3 linked regions of the Callithrix jacchus genome follow. The protein of the gene in region 2 purifies or fractionates together with the protein of the main gene of each other region. This does not show direct contact. Links are inferred from orthologs where the notes say so. Each region holds a gene or a part of one and is shown on either strand. Other genes may lie near its edges. The genes, in order: CDK1, CDC25B and FBXW11.

The links.
Region 1: the proteins of CDC25B (region 2) and CDK1 purify together in Homo sapiens (affinity purification with western blotting; 4 studies listed by BioGRID). This does not show direct contact. The link is inferred for Callithrix jacchus from reciprocal best matches to the Homo sapiens genes CDC25B and CDK1.
Region 3: the proteins of CDC25B (region 2) and FBXW11 purify together in Homo sapiens (affinity purification with mass spectrometry; 14 studies listed by BioGRID and IntAct, counting the BioPlex papers as one, with this or other methods). This does not show direct contact. The link is inferred for Callithrix jacchus from reciprocal best matches to the Homo sapiens genes CDC25B and FBXW11.

The regions. Positions count from the first base shown.
Region 1 is NC_133513.1:69,669,309-69,672,961, forward strand, and holds part of CDK1 (cyclin-dependent kinase 1), read right to left. Parts: intron 529-3,653; coding exon 372-528; intron 1-371. UniProt on the Homo sapiens protein: Plays a key role in the control of the eukaryotic cell cycle by modulating the centrosome cycle as well as mitotic onset; promotes G2-M transition via association with multiple interphase cyclins.
Region 2 is NC_133506.1:11,330,885-11,334,537, forward strand, and holds part of CDC25B (M-phase inducer phosphatase 2), read left to right. Parts: intron 1-89; coding exon 90-185; intron 186-1,011; coding exon 1,012-1,074; intron 1,075-1,225; coding exon 1,226-1,324; intron 1,325-1,515; coding exon 1,516-1,649; intron 1,650-2,812; coding exon 2,813-2,924; intron 2,925-3,063; coding exon 3,064-3,204; 3' UTR 3,205-3,653. UniProt on the Homo sapiens protein: Tyrosine protein phosphatase which functions as a dosage-dependent inducer of mitotic progression. Directly dephosphorylates CDK1 and stimulates its kinase activity.
Region 3 is NC_133503.1:64,156,305-64,159,957, forward strand, and holds part of FBXW11 (F-box/WD repeat-containing protein 11), read right to left. Parts: intron 1,554-3,653; coding exon 1,435-1,553; intron 1-1,434.

The sequences.
Region 1 (3,653 bases), on a different chromosome or scaffold from region 2:
AAAATCTTTTTCATTTGACCTAGCTACCTTTCTTAAGACTCCGACTAAAGTGTCTTCAGGACTAGAACTCCTAAGTAAGAGAGAGTTGACAAAGCTCTATAAAAAGGGCTTTATTCCCATGGCCAATTTACCTTGCTTTTCCAGTCTCAAATATTAATCTACATCACCAAGCTCCTGTGACTGTGTTCCTGCTTTAACAGCCTATTCTATTTTACATATGTGCAGCATTCTCAGCTAACAAAAATAGTAGGGTTCTAGTCCACTCAGTAAAGCTAGATCAAGAAATTAAGCAAATGTTAAGATTTCCAAGTTGAAATTTACATTTGAAACAGCATGCAGAAAATGGCTTACATTCAGATATCATTCCATACCTGACTATATTTGGATGACGAAGTTCTTTTAATAGAGAAATTTCCCGAATTGCAGTACTAGGAACCCCTTCCTCTTCACTTTCTAGTCTGATTTTTTTCATGGCGACCACTTGACCTGTAGTTTTGTGTCTACCTTTATACACAACTCCATAGGTACCTGAAACAAAGTAAATAATACACTGTGTGACACAACCCACAAACTGAAAGATCTTTTTTTTTTTTTCCTGAGGCAGGTTCTTGTTCTCTTGTCCAGGTTGGAGTGCAGTGGGGCGATCAAAGCTCACTACAACCTTTACCTCCTGGGCTCAAGGGATCCTCACACTCCCATGTAGCTGAAACTACAAGCACATGCCACCACACCTAGTTAATTTTTGGCAGAAATGGGGTTTCACACCATGTTGCCCAGGCTGGTCTGGAATACATGAGCTCAAGCAATCCACCTGACTCACCGTTGAAAAGTGCTGAGCCACCATACCTGGTCAAACTAAGATTTTAAGATTATTGAATCCCATAGGGGTCACATGATAGAAATGTCTGGCATGGCCAGATGGGAAATATCTTACTCATACCCTCATTGCTTCCAAAAAGAAATTGAGAGTTGCCACAATCTGTATGGCTTAAAAATATGATTCATGTAGTCATCACAAGTTTTCTATACATTTAAATTACCGTTAATGTTCCAGCATATTTTACAGAAGAAAATAGATCATTTGCAAATTAAAATTAACCTCCTGCCAAAATCCTACCCAGCAATAAAGTCGGCATAAAATATAGTGTAAAAATGTGGGCTCATGAAATACTACTGATAAGAGTCACCATGATACTTTTAGAAAATTCTGCAGTGTTTTATGCTTTTCATAACACTTTCATCTATATCTCAAAATACAGTAAACAGTCCTCATTCTCAAAAGAATGGAGATAAAAGACCAGGTGTTTGTTTATTAGACCTATTAAAGCACATAGTATGTACTATATATATTAGGAAAGCCTCACACCCATTTGCAAGTTGATGAAAACACTGATTTTGATATATTGGCTTCAGGTAATGCGCAATGTCAATTGTAAGGGACAGTAGGGAGGGAGGAGGTGAATACAGGGAATGAAATGGCAATAAGCAAGAAGACTGTCTAAAATACATCATATATGTGGCAGCACTGAATTCCCTAGGTAAGTCTTTGTAAAATTGGGTCGAAGTTTAGGGAAATCCTGAACTCCTTAAGTACACATAAAATGTTGTTGAATGGCTTTTGCTTTCCATGGCATTGGTTTAACTTCAAAAGTGATTAGGAAGAAGGCCTCTTCTATAGCTTTTATGAGTTTCTCTGAAGGTACCAATATTTCAAAAAAGGCTAACAACCAGCAAATTACCAACTGCTTAGTTAGAATATTAAGCCCTTTGAGCAGTAGCAAATTGATGTTACTTAAGCTTTGTTCTAATTTTTTGACAGAGACTCTACACAAAATCTGTTTTCTTAAATACTGATGTCATTTTAAAACTATAAACTGACATAAAATTCATTTTATATTATTTCAATTGTGGATTAATGTATAACTTGTTGATAACCAAAATTACTCTGTTAAAGGAGAACTGACTATATTTTATCCTCACAGCCATCCTTAAAAGTAGGTAACCTTCATACACATAAAATCTATACTTTTTTGGATATAAATTAAGCTCACATTAAACACAAAAAGTAGGTAAACGAGTAGCACACTCATCTAGCATACTGTTAAAGAGATCTTGGGAAGATTAGTCACCTGCAAAATACAGTCAAATAAGCAGTTAATGGTAAATTCAGAACTAATTTTTTTTCTAACACCCTTTCTTTTCCCTCAAGTGTACAATCTCATCTAATCCTAAATAATTTTCAGAATTAACAATTGATTAACCAGTGGCCAACAATCAATGTGTTGAATTTTAGAGATAATATTACTTCTCACTGAACTACTGGAATGGGATTAAACAAAGCAGAACTATTCTATTGGTTAATCATCCAAAATTATTTTTTAAATACATCATATATGCTCCAAACTGAACTAAGAATTCCAAAGATAGAAATACTCTAGGGTATCTAACTAATTATAAATAACTAAGGAAGCAAAAATCATTAACACAGGTAAGCCTAGGAGATCAGCCTAAATCTACCAGAAGACTTATCCCAGGAAACAAACAAATAAAAAAATATGTAAAATATGATCAAGTTATGGAGGCCCATAAGCAGAAGAACTTCCTTAAGTAAGTATTTATCAAACGCCTACTAAATGCCGGGTAAGGTTTCACTACCATGGATACAGCTACTCCATGATCCAAAAAGACATTTTCTTAAGACAGGAAGGAGGAGTTCAAGGATTAGTATGACAACACTCAGATTTCTGTAATTCAGAAGAAGCCAGAGAACAATTTTTGTAATATTTAAAATAGAAAAGTCTGGATGTATTTAAGAAATGAATTAGGTTGTCAAGACTCACTGTCAACTGAGAGAAAAGGCAGAGACTGTCTTTTCAGAATTAAAAGAGGTATTAACTGCCACATGAAAGGCATGACCTTGGGTAAATATTCAGAATATACCCACAGATTTAGGGGAAGAATATCTCTACAACTTACTTGAAATGCATTAAAACGCAAAACATCTGAATGTTCTCACCACAAAGAAATGATGAAGTGATGGATAGGCTAATTACTCTGATTGGATCATACAACACATACATGTATCAAATCACCAAACCATACCCCATAAATATGTACCATTAAAATCTGTCAATGAGAAAAATAAAAAATAAATTTGTGTTAACATACACACAAATAAAGTAAATATGACAAAACACCAATATCTTCGTAAAGTATTACAAGTTCATGCATAAATCTTTCAGTATATCTATAGATTTGGAAATGTTCAAAAAGAAAAGTTGAGGGGAAAAAAATATAACTTTAAAAACAGTACTTTAATACTAGACTTTAACCAGATACCTGGCAGAAACAAAAAAAAAATTGTGTGTGGATTATTTAGGCTTCCAATTATTTCCACAAGTTCATTTTTCCAAAATAATATCCAGAACATAATCCAAAACAATCAGGCACTGGAGTTGAAAAGACAATCCAAGCCAGAAAAAGAAACAACAGAGTTCAGAAGAACAAACAAGGAAAATAGTTGTTATTATTATCTATTCATGTATCTCCTGTGTATTATGCACTACTGCCAAGGAGTGGGCAAACAGTTGTGAACAAGACAAAAATCCAGCTCTCAAGGACCTATGGTATAATAATTAAAAAGGATATTAAGC
Region 2 (3,653 bases):
GGCATGGCAGGGAAATGGGGTACCAGCCAGACAGGGCACTGAGGGCAGCCCCACCCCTGACCCTGGCCTCCATCTGACTCACTTTCCAGAAAGCCCGAGTCCTCCGCTCAAAATCACTGTGTCATGATGAGATCGAGAACCTCCTGGACAGTGACCACCGAGAGCTGATTGGAGATTACTCTAAGGTACCTGTGGCATCGAAGGAGTCTGGGGGGCTGGACCTGTTACTGACTAGGAACCCTCTAGCCCAGGGGCTGCTTGGGTTCCTCCCTCTCTCCCAGAGCCCCCATTTTCTTTGTCCTTTGTATCTTTTTTTTTTTGAGATGGAGTCTTGCTCCCATCCTGCAGGCTGGAGTGCAGTGGCATGATCTCAGCTCACTGCAACCTCTAACTCCTGGGTTCAAGCAATTCTCCTTCCTCAGCCTCCCAAGTAGTTGGGATTACAGGCATGTGCCACCATGCCCAGCTAATTTTTGTATTTTTAGCAGAGACAGGTTTTCGCCATGTTGGCCAGGCTGGTCTTGAAATCCAGACCTCAGGTGATCCACCCACCTTCGCCTCCCAAAGTGCTGGGATTACAGGCGTGAGCCACCACGTGGGTTGTCCTTTATATCTTTTTATCCTTTGTTCTTACACAGACTCCTCCCTCTGGCCCTCCTTGGTCCCCTGACTCTACCTCAAGTTACTCCAGCCATCTGTTGTATCTCCATCTTATTTCCAAGCTCATACCTAGCTTGGAACCCCCTCATGCCTCACCTGTGGGCTTGGCAGAGGGTAGGGAGCAGAGTGTGGGGTCCATCTCTTCCGCTTCCCTTTTTCGTTTTCCTTTCCCCTTGGAAGGTTGTTCCCTAGGTGTCAGACCCAAGAGGTGCTTCTCAGTTGCTATGGGAACCAGAGCTGAATTTGAAGGCCAAAGCAGGTGTGGCCTCTGGGCTTGAAAATGAAACTTCATCCTTTTCAGGCTCCTGGTCTTACCAATTTAACTTTCTCCATCCCTTCCCTTCCCTTCAGGCCTTCCTCCTACAGACTGTCGATGGAAAGCACCAAGACCTCAAGTACATTTCACCAGAAACGGTAAACAGCATTGCACTATTTTCTGGGCGCATTTAGGACTGCAGCTCCGTTGTTGACCTTCCCTGGGGACGGGCTGCATAGACTAGGCCAGAGGACAGGCTAGGGCCATCTGCCAGCTGCCATCCTGACCGACTCCCATGACCTCCTATAGATGGTGGCCCTGTTGATGGGCAAGTTCAGCAACATCGTGGAGAAGTTTGTGATTGTGGACTGCAGATACCCCTATGAGTATGAAGGTGGGCACATCAAGGTAAGGTGGGGAGAGGCCTTGAAGATCCCACCTGGTTTAGGTCCTTGCTTTGCTAAGAGAGTGAATGGAGGACGGGTACGCCCTCTCATGGGGAGTTCCTGACCAGTAAGAGGAGGACAGGGACTGCAGGGGGAGGAGCCTGCCTCCTGGGAGGGGCCCCGGGCTGTGCCTGACCTCTGGCTTCCTGGCAGACTGCGGTGAACTTGCCTCTGGAACGAGACGCCGAGAGCTTTCTGTTGCAGAGCCCCATCACACCCTGTAGCCTGGACAAGAGAGTCATCCTCATTTTCCACTGTGAATTCTCATCTGAGCGTGGGCCCCGAATGTGAGTCCCAGCTCCACCCAGCCAGCCAGTGTTTGCCCCAGCCTTCCCTGCCCAGGCTTACATGTGCTGGCACCATTGTGATGGCCAGGTGCTGTGGATGCCAGCAGAGCAGGTTCCAATGGAGACCTAACAGCACTGAACACTGGAAGGGTCAGGGTCACTGGAGACTGACACAGGGCCCTTAGATTTTGAGAAAGGCACTGCTAGAGACTTGGAACCAGATTTGCTGGACTGTCCCACCTGATGGCCTGGAGCTGACCTCAGCCCCTCTTCACTGTGCATGGTACCCACCTCCCTTCCCCCTCACAGTCCTGCCTATCAGGCCTCATGTCTGCAACCCCATCCTTGCCGCCACCCACCAGAAAATCTGGTTCCAAGTCTCTAGCAGTGCCTTTCTCAAAATCCAAGGGCCCTGTGTCAGTCTCCAGTGACCCTGACCCTTCCAGTGTTCGGTGCTGTTAGGTCTCCATTGGAACCTGCTCTGCTGGCATCCACAGCACCTGGGCCTCCCCAACCCTGGCTGAGCTCCTTCCATCTCTGTTCCTGCTCTGCCTGGCCATCCGTCCTCCCACCCTTACCTCTTCCTGGGTTGCCACTGGTCCATCTGACTGCTAGTGGCTCTCCAGCCTGGCCTCACCCATGTGCTGGGAATCTGCACCCAGATGCCCCTTACAGAGACCTCATCCCTGCTGCCCTCCCATTTTCTCCAGGCATCCCAGCACATGGCACCCACCTCTACCCAGGCACTGGGCCTGGGCACTGGCTTCAGTCTTGGGCCCTCCTCCTCCCTTCTCCCCACCACTGGTCCTCACTGGGTCTTATCCACGAGTGACCTGAATGGATCGCTTGAATTTGGCCCACTTGTCTCCTCTCCTGCTTTTCCTTTCCTGGTCCAGGCACAGATATCGCTAACAAAGATGGTGCAACTGTCTTCTAGAAATGGAGAGCCCATTCCCTTGATTTTACCTTCTTCCTTCCACCTCCCCCACCCTCTTCTGTATAGCCAGACTGATCTGAAAGTGTTCTTGTGGTTACATTCCTGTACTCAAAAGCCTTCTGTGGCTTCCCAGGGCCCTCAGAGGAGTGGATGTGGGGAATAGGTCCCATGATGTACAAGCCACTGCATGCCCCGCTCTGACCACACCCTGCCCGTGCCATCTCAGGTGCCGTTTCATCAGGGAGCGAGACCGTTCTGTCAATGACTACCCCAGCCTCTACTATCCCGAGATGTATATCCTGAAAGGCGGCTACAAGGAGTTCTTCCCTCAGCACCCGGTAGCGTGGGTGGCAATGCCACCAGCTCTGTGTGAGGGTTGGCTTGGCCATTCCCGAGCCCTGGGAAGCGGGGTGGGAGGGTTGGGTCCCTGCCAAGGTTACCCATTCCACTGCATTGACCCCTCTTATCCTGCCCTAGAACTTCTGTGAACCGCAGGACTACCGGCCCATGAACCACCAGGCCTTCAAGGATGAGCTAAAGACCTTCCGCCTGAAGACCCGCAGCTGGGCTGGGGAGCGGAGCCGGCGGGAGCTCTGCAGCAGGCTGCAGGACCAGTGAGGGGCCTGCATCGGTCCTGTTACCTCCCTTGCCTTTCAAGGCCTGGAGCCAGCTGCCCTACGGGCCTGCTTGGCTGAGGGCCTGCTGGAGGCCTCAGGTGCTGTCCTTGGGAAAGATGGTGTGGGTATCCTGCCTGTCTGCCCCAGCCCCGATTCCCCTGTTTCATCCCATCATTTTCCATATCCTGGTGCCCCCACACTCCTGGAAGAGCCCAGTCTGTTGAGTTAGTTAAGCTGGGTTAATACCAGCTTAAAGGCAGTATTTTGTGTCCTCCAGGAGGTTTTTCCCTTGTTAGGGTTAACCCTTCATCTTCCTGTGTCCTGAAAAGCTCCTTTGTATGTGTGTCAGCTGAGGCTGGGGGACAGCCCTGGTCCCCAAGGATGGGTCACAGCTAAACTCCTTCCTGGCCTGGGAGTCAGCTCTCTGCCCTGTGCATCTCCCAGGCCACA
Region 3 (3,653 bases), on a different chromosome or scaffold from region 2:
GAAGGAATCTTGACAGCTGAAGAAGTGAGAATAGTTCCAAGCTTCCAGTTCTTGTTGACCTCTGACAGGCCTCTGAGTCTATTATTTATCCACTGCAAATTGGGTAAGTCATGATGCCTCATCAATCATCACATCCACTTCTTTATCCGGCTGCTTTATGGACAAAGCCAGGATCTAGCAACTGCTTTGTACATCCAGGGATTTGGGGGCAGCACCTCCACATCATGGCTTTTTTGTAACCCTCATTTCCTTAGAGGACAAGTTCACACAGGGCAGAGGAGAAAAGACTCAGGCCTCTGAGGCTCAGACACAATCTCTGGCAGAAGCAGTGGTACAGAAGCAATGAGTCCAGAGGAGGATACTAGGCGTGCTTTAAACGGGTGGTGAGAGTGTCCAGGAGTGAAGTGAGAGGCTAATAACAACAACTAACATAAAGAGGAGTGAAAAGGGGAGAACGTGGGTATCCAAAGACAGACTCAGTGACCATTCCAATCGCTTAGGCTCGTGTACCTGTAAAACAATCCTCTTCAAATATCTGACCCAACCCAGAAGAGCTGTTTCCTTCTCTTTCACATTTCCTCCAGATACCAGTAGTCTTGCTGAGGCTTTCCTGTGTGACCTACAGCTCTGATGGCCTCATCACTACACCCAACTCCCAAGCCCATCTGGTGTGAAAAAAATGCGTTTATCCCAGAGGTATAGGAATGGATATCAATAATGTTCCCTTTCTACTCGCTCACCTCTTACCCAAACGTCATTGCTTTCCTTGTACTGCAGAACATTGCCACTTTCATCTTCATCATTCTGCCACTCAGTGACAAATGAAAATCAGTGCTTCCACTACTGGCAAGGCTACATATACAGTCATGACTTGAATCAATTCAAGGTTCAAAATTTATTAATTCTGTGACTCTGAGCAAATTATTTAATCTCTCTGGTCTTGGTTTCCTAATACAACTCCAAAAATGGAGGTAACATCTGCCTCTTCAGAAAGGTTGATGTGAGAACTGATAAAATGATACAGAGTACCGAGTATACTATCCGCTCTCACATTTTACTTTCCTGGTGTTGCTGAAAAGATTCTGCAAACTGCTTTTGAGTCTTTCAGTATTTGTAGGTGGTGCCCACCACACTCCTAGAATAGCTGCCTTCCTCCTCTCTGCTCTGGACCACAGTTTCCCAAAAGGAAAAAGCCAGACTAATACTTGGTATGTGCTCGTACAGGAAAGCATGTTATCATCTCTAAAATGAACAGCAACACTCTTAAATTAGCTGTTTTGCCTAATTTGCTCAAACATATCTACAACAAAAGTAGTTTGAAACACAGCCTGTAAAAATGTATGCAAAGTTTATGTATGCCTCTCCCAGAGGAGGATGTCAATCACAGACTTTCTCAGGGAAGGCTTACAAGATCAACAAAGCCAGATCACTCACCTCACTGTAGAATCTGAAGAGCCAGTTACAATGACACGCTCATCATATTGCAGGCAGAGGACAGAGCCTGTGTGTCCTGTTAACACTTTCAAACATTCCAGGCTGGTTTTATCCCAAATCTATTGAGACAAGATTAGCCACAAACAACGATTTATTATTATACTATATTTTGATGAATATTACTGTCCCACCTTATGTTCTGATTATAAAATGAAATACTTGGGTTATAGTAAATAAGAAACATTGAATATCAAACAGGTAAGAAACAAGTAGGAATACAGACAATAGTGGTTAACTACTAGGATAGATGTGCTATTTTGTTTAATTTGAACCCTTAGCTATTAATCTCATTACACTTACCAATGGCCTCATAAAGGGAACTTTTAAAAAATAAAATCTGTGAAAAGAAGTCACTCACTGGCTGGGTGCTATGGCTCATGCCTGTAATCCCAACACTTTGGGAGGCAGAGACAGAAGTATCACTTGAGCCCAGAAGTTCAATACCAGCCTGGGAAACCCATCTCCACAAATTTTATATATGTTTTTTTTTTTTTTTTTAATTAGCCAGGCATGGTGGTGTCTGCCTGTAGTCCCAGCAACTCGGGAGGCTAAGGTGACAGGATTGCTTGAGCCCAGGAGGCAAGGCTGCAGTGAGTCACAATCACACCACTGTACTCCAGCCGGGGTGACAAGGCAGGACCCTGCTTTTCCATTTTATTTTATGTCTCGTAAAAATAAAGAAGTGGCTCAATCTCTGGAAAGCAACATGACAACATAACTATTAAGACCTTTTAAAAATGCATACCCCTATGTTTACAAAAATAAAATGTCCAACATTTCATAAAAGTCTCAAAGTAAACTATGAAGAGTTTTTAATGAGAAAATATCATGCTTCATTACAAAGTTAAGCATTTTTAAAAATCAGAATAAAAATTATAAAGTGACACAATGACTATGTATATACTGCAGAAAAGGAAAAAAGGATTAAAGGAAGGAAATTGTTATTAATAGTTGTTTTCATACTCCTGAGTGTTCCTTTTCTCGCTTCTTTTACGGCTTCCACAGATTTGTCTTTTCTAGAATGTCACAGAGTTGGAATCATACAGTATGTAGCCTTTTTAGATTGGCTTCTTTCACATAGTAATACACATTTAAACTTCCTCCCTGTCTTTTCATGGCTTGATATACGTTCCTTTTTAGTGCTGAAAATTATCCCTGTTGTCTAGATGTACTACAGTTTATTTATCCATATACCTACTGAAGGACACCTTGGTTGCTTCCAAGTTTGGGCAATTATGGGCAAAGCTGCCATAAACATCTGGGTCCAGGCTTTTGTGTAGACATAAGTTTTTGATTCCGTTGTGTAAATATTAAGTCGCACAACTGCTGGATCATATGGTAAAAGTATGTTTAGTTTTGTAAGAACTGCCAAACTGCCTTACAACGTGGCTGTACCATTTTGTATTTCCACCAGCAGTGAATTCAAGCTCCTGTTCCTGTTGCTCCACATGCTCGCCAGCATTGGGTGTTGTCAGTGTTCTGGATTTTGTCCATGCTAACAGGTGTGCAGTGGTGTCTCATTGTTATAATCCACATTTCCCTGATGACTTACGTGGAACATCTTGTCACATGCTTATATGCCATCTGTGTATCTTCTTTGGTGACATGTCTGTTAAGGTCTATGCCTTATTTTTTTTTTTTAATAGGTTAATTAATTTTCTAACTGTTGAGATTCAAGAGCTCTTTCTATGTCTTTTGCATATATTTTCTCTCGTCTGTGGCTTGTTTTTTCATTCTCTGGACAATGTCTCTCACAGAACAGAAATTTTTTATTTTAATGAAGTCCAGCTTATTCTTTCTTTAATGAAGCATGCCTTTGACATTGTATCTAAAAAGTCACCAACAAACTCAAGATCATGTGGGTTTTCTACTATATTGTATTCTACAAATTTTATGGTTTTCTGTTTTACATCTAGGCCTTTAATCCATTTTGATTTAATTTTTGTGAAGTATATAGGATCTGTGTCTGTATTATTTGGGAGTAAAGGAGGCAATATGGTGTCTAGTTGCTTCTGCCCAATTGCTGAAGAGACTATCTTTTCTCCATTGTATTACCTTTGTAAAAGATCAGGTGACTATATTTGTGAAGGTATGTATTTCTGGGCTCTCTATTCTTTTCCATGGATCTAGCTGTCCATTCTGTTGCCAGCACCACACCG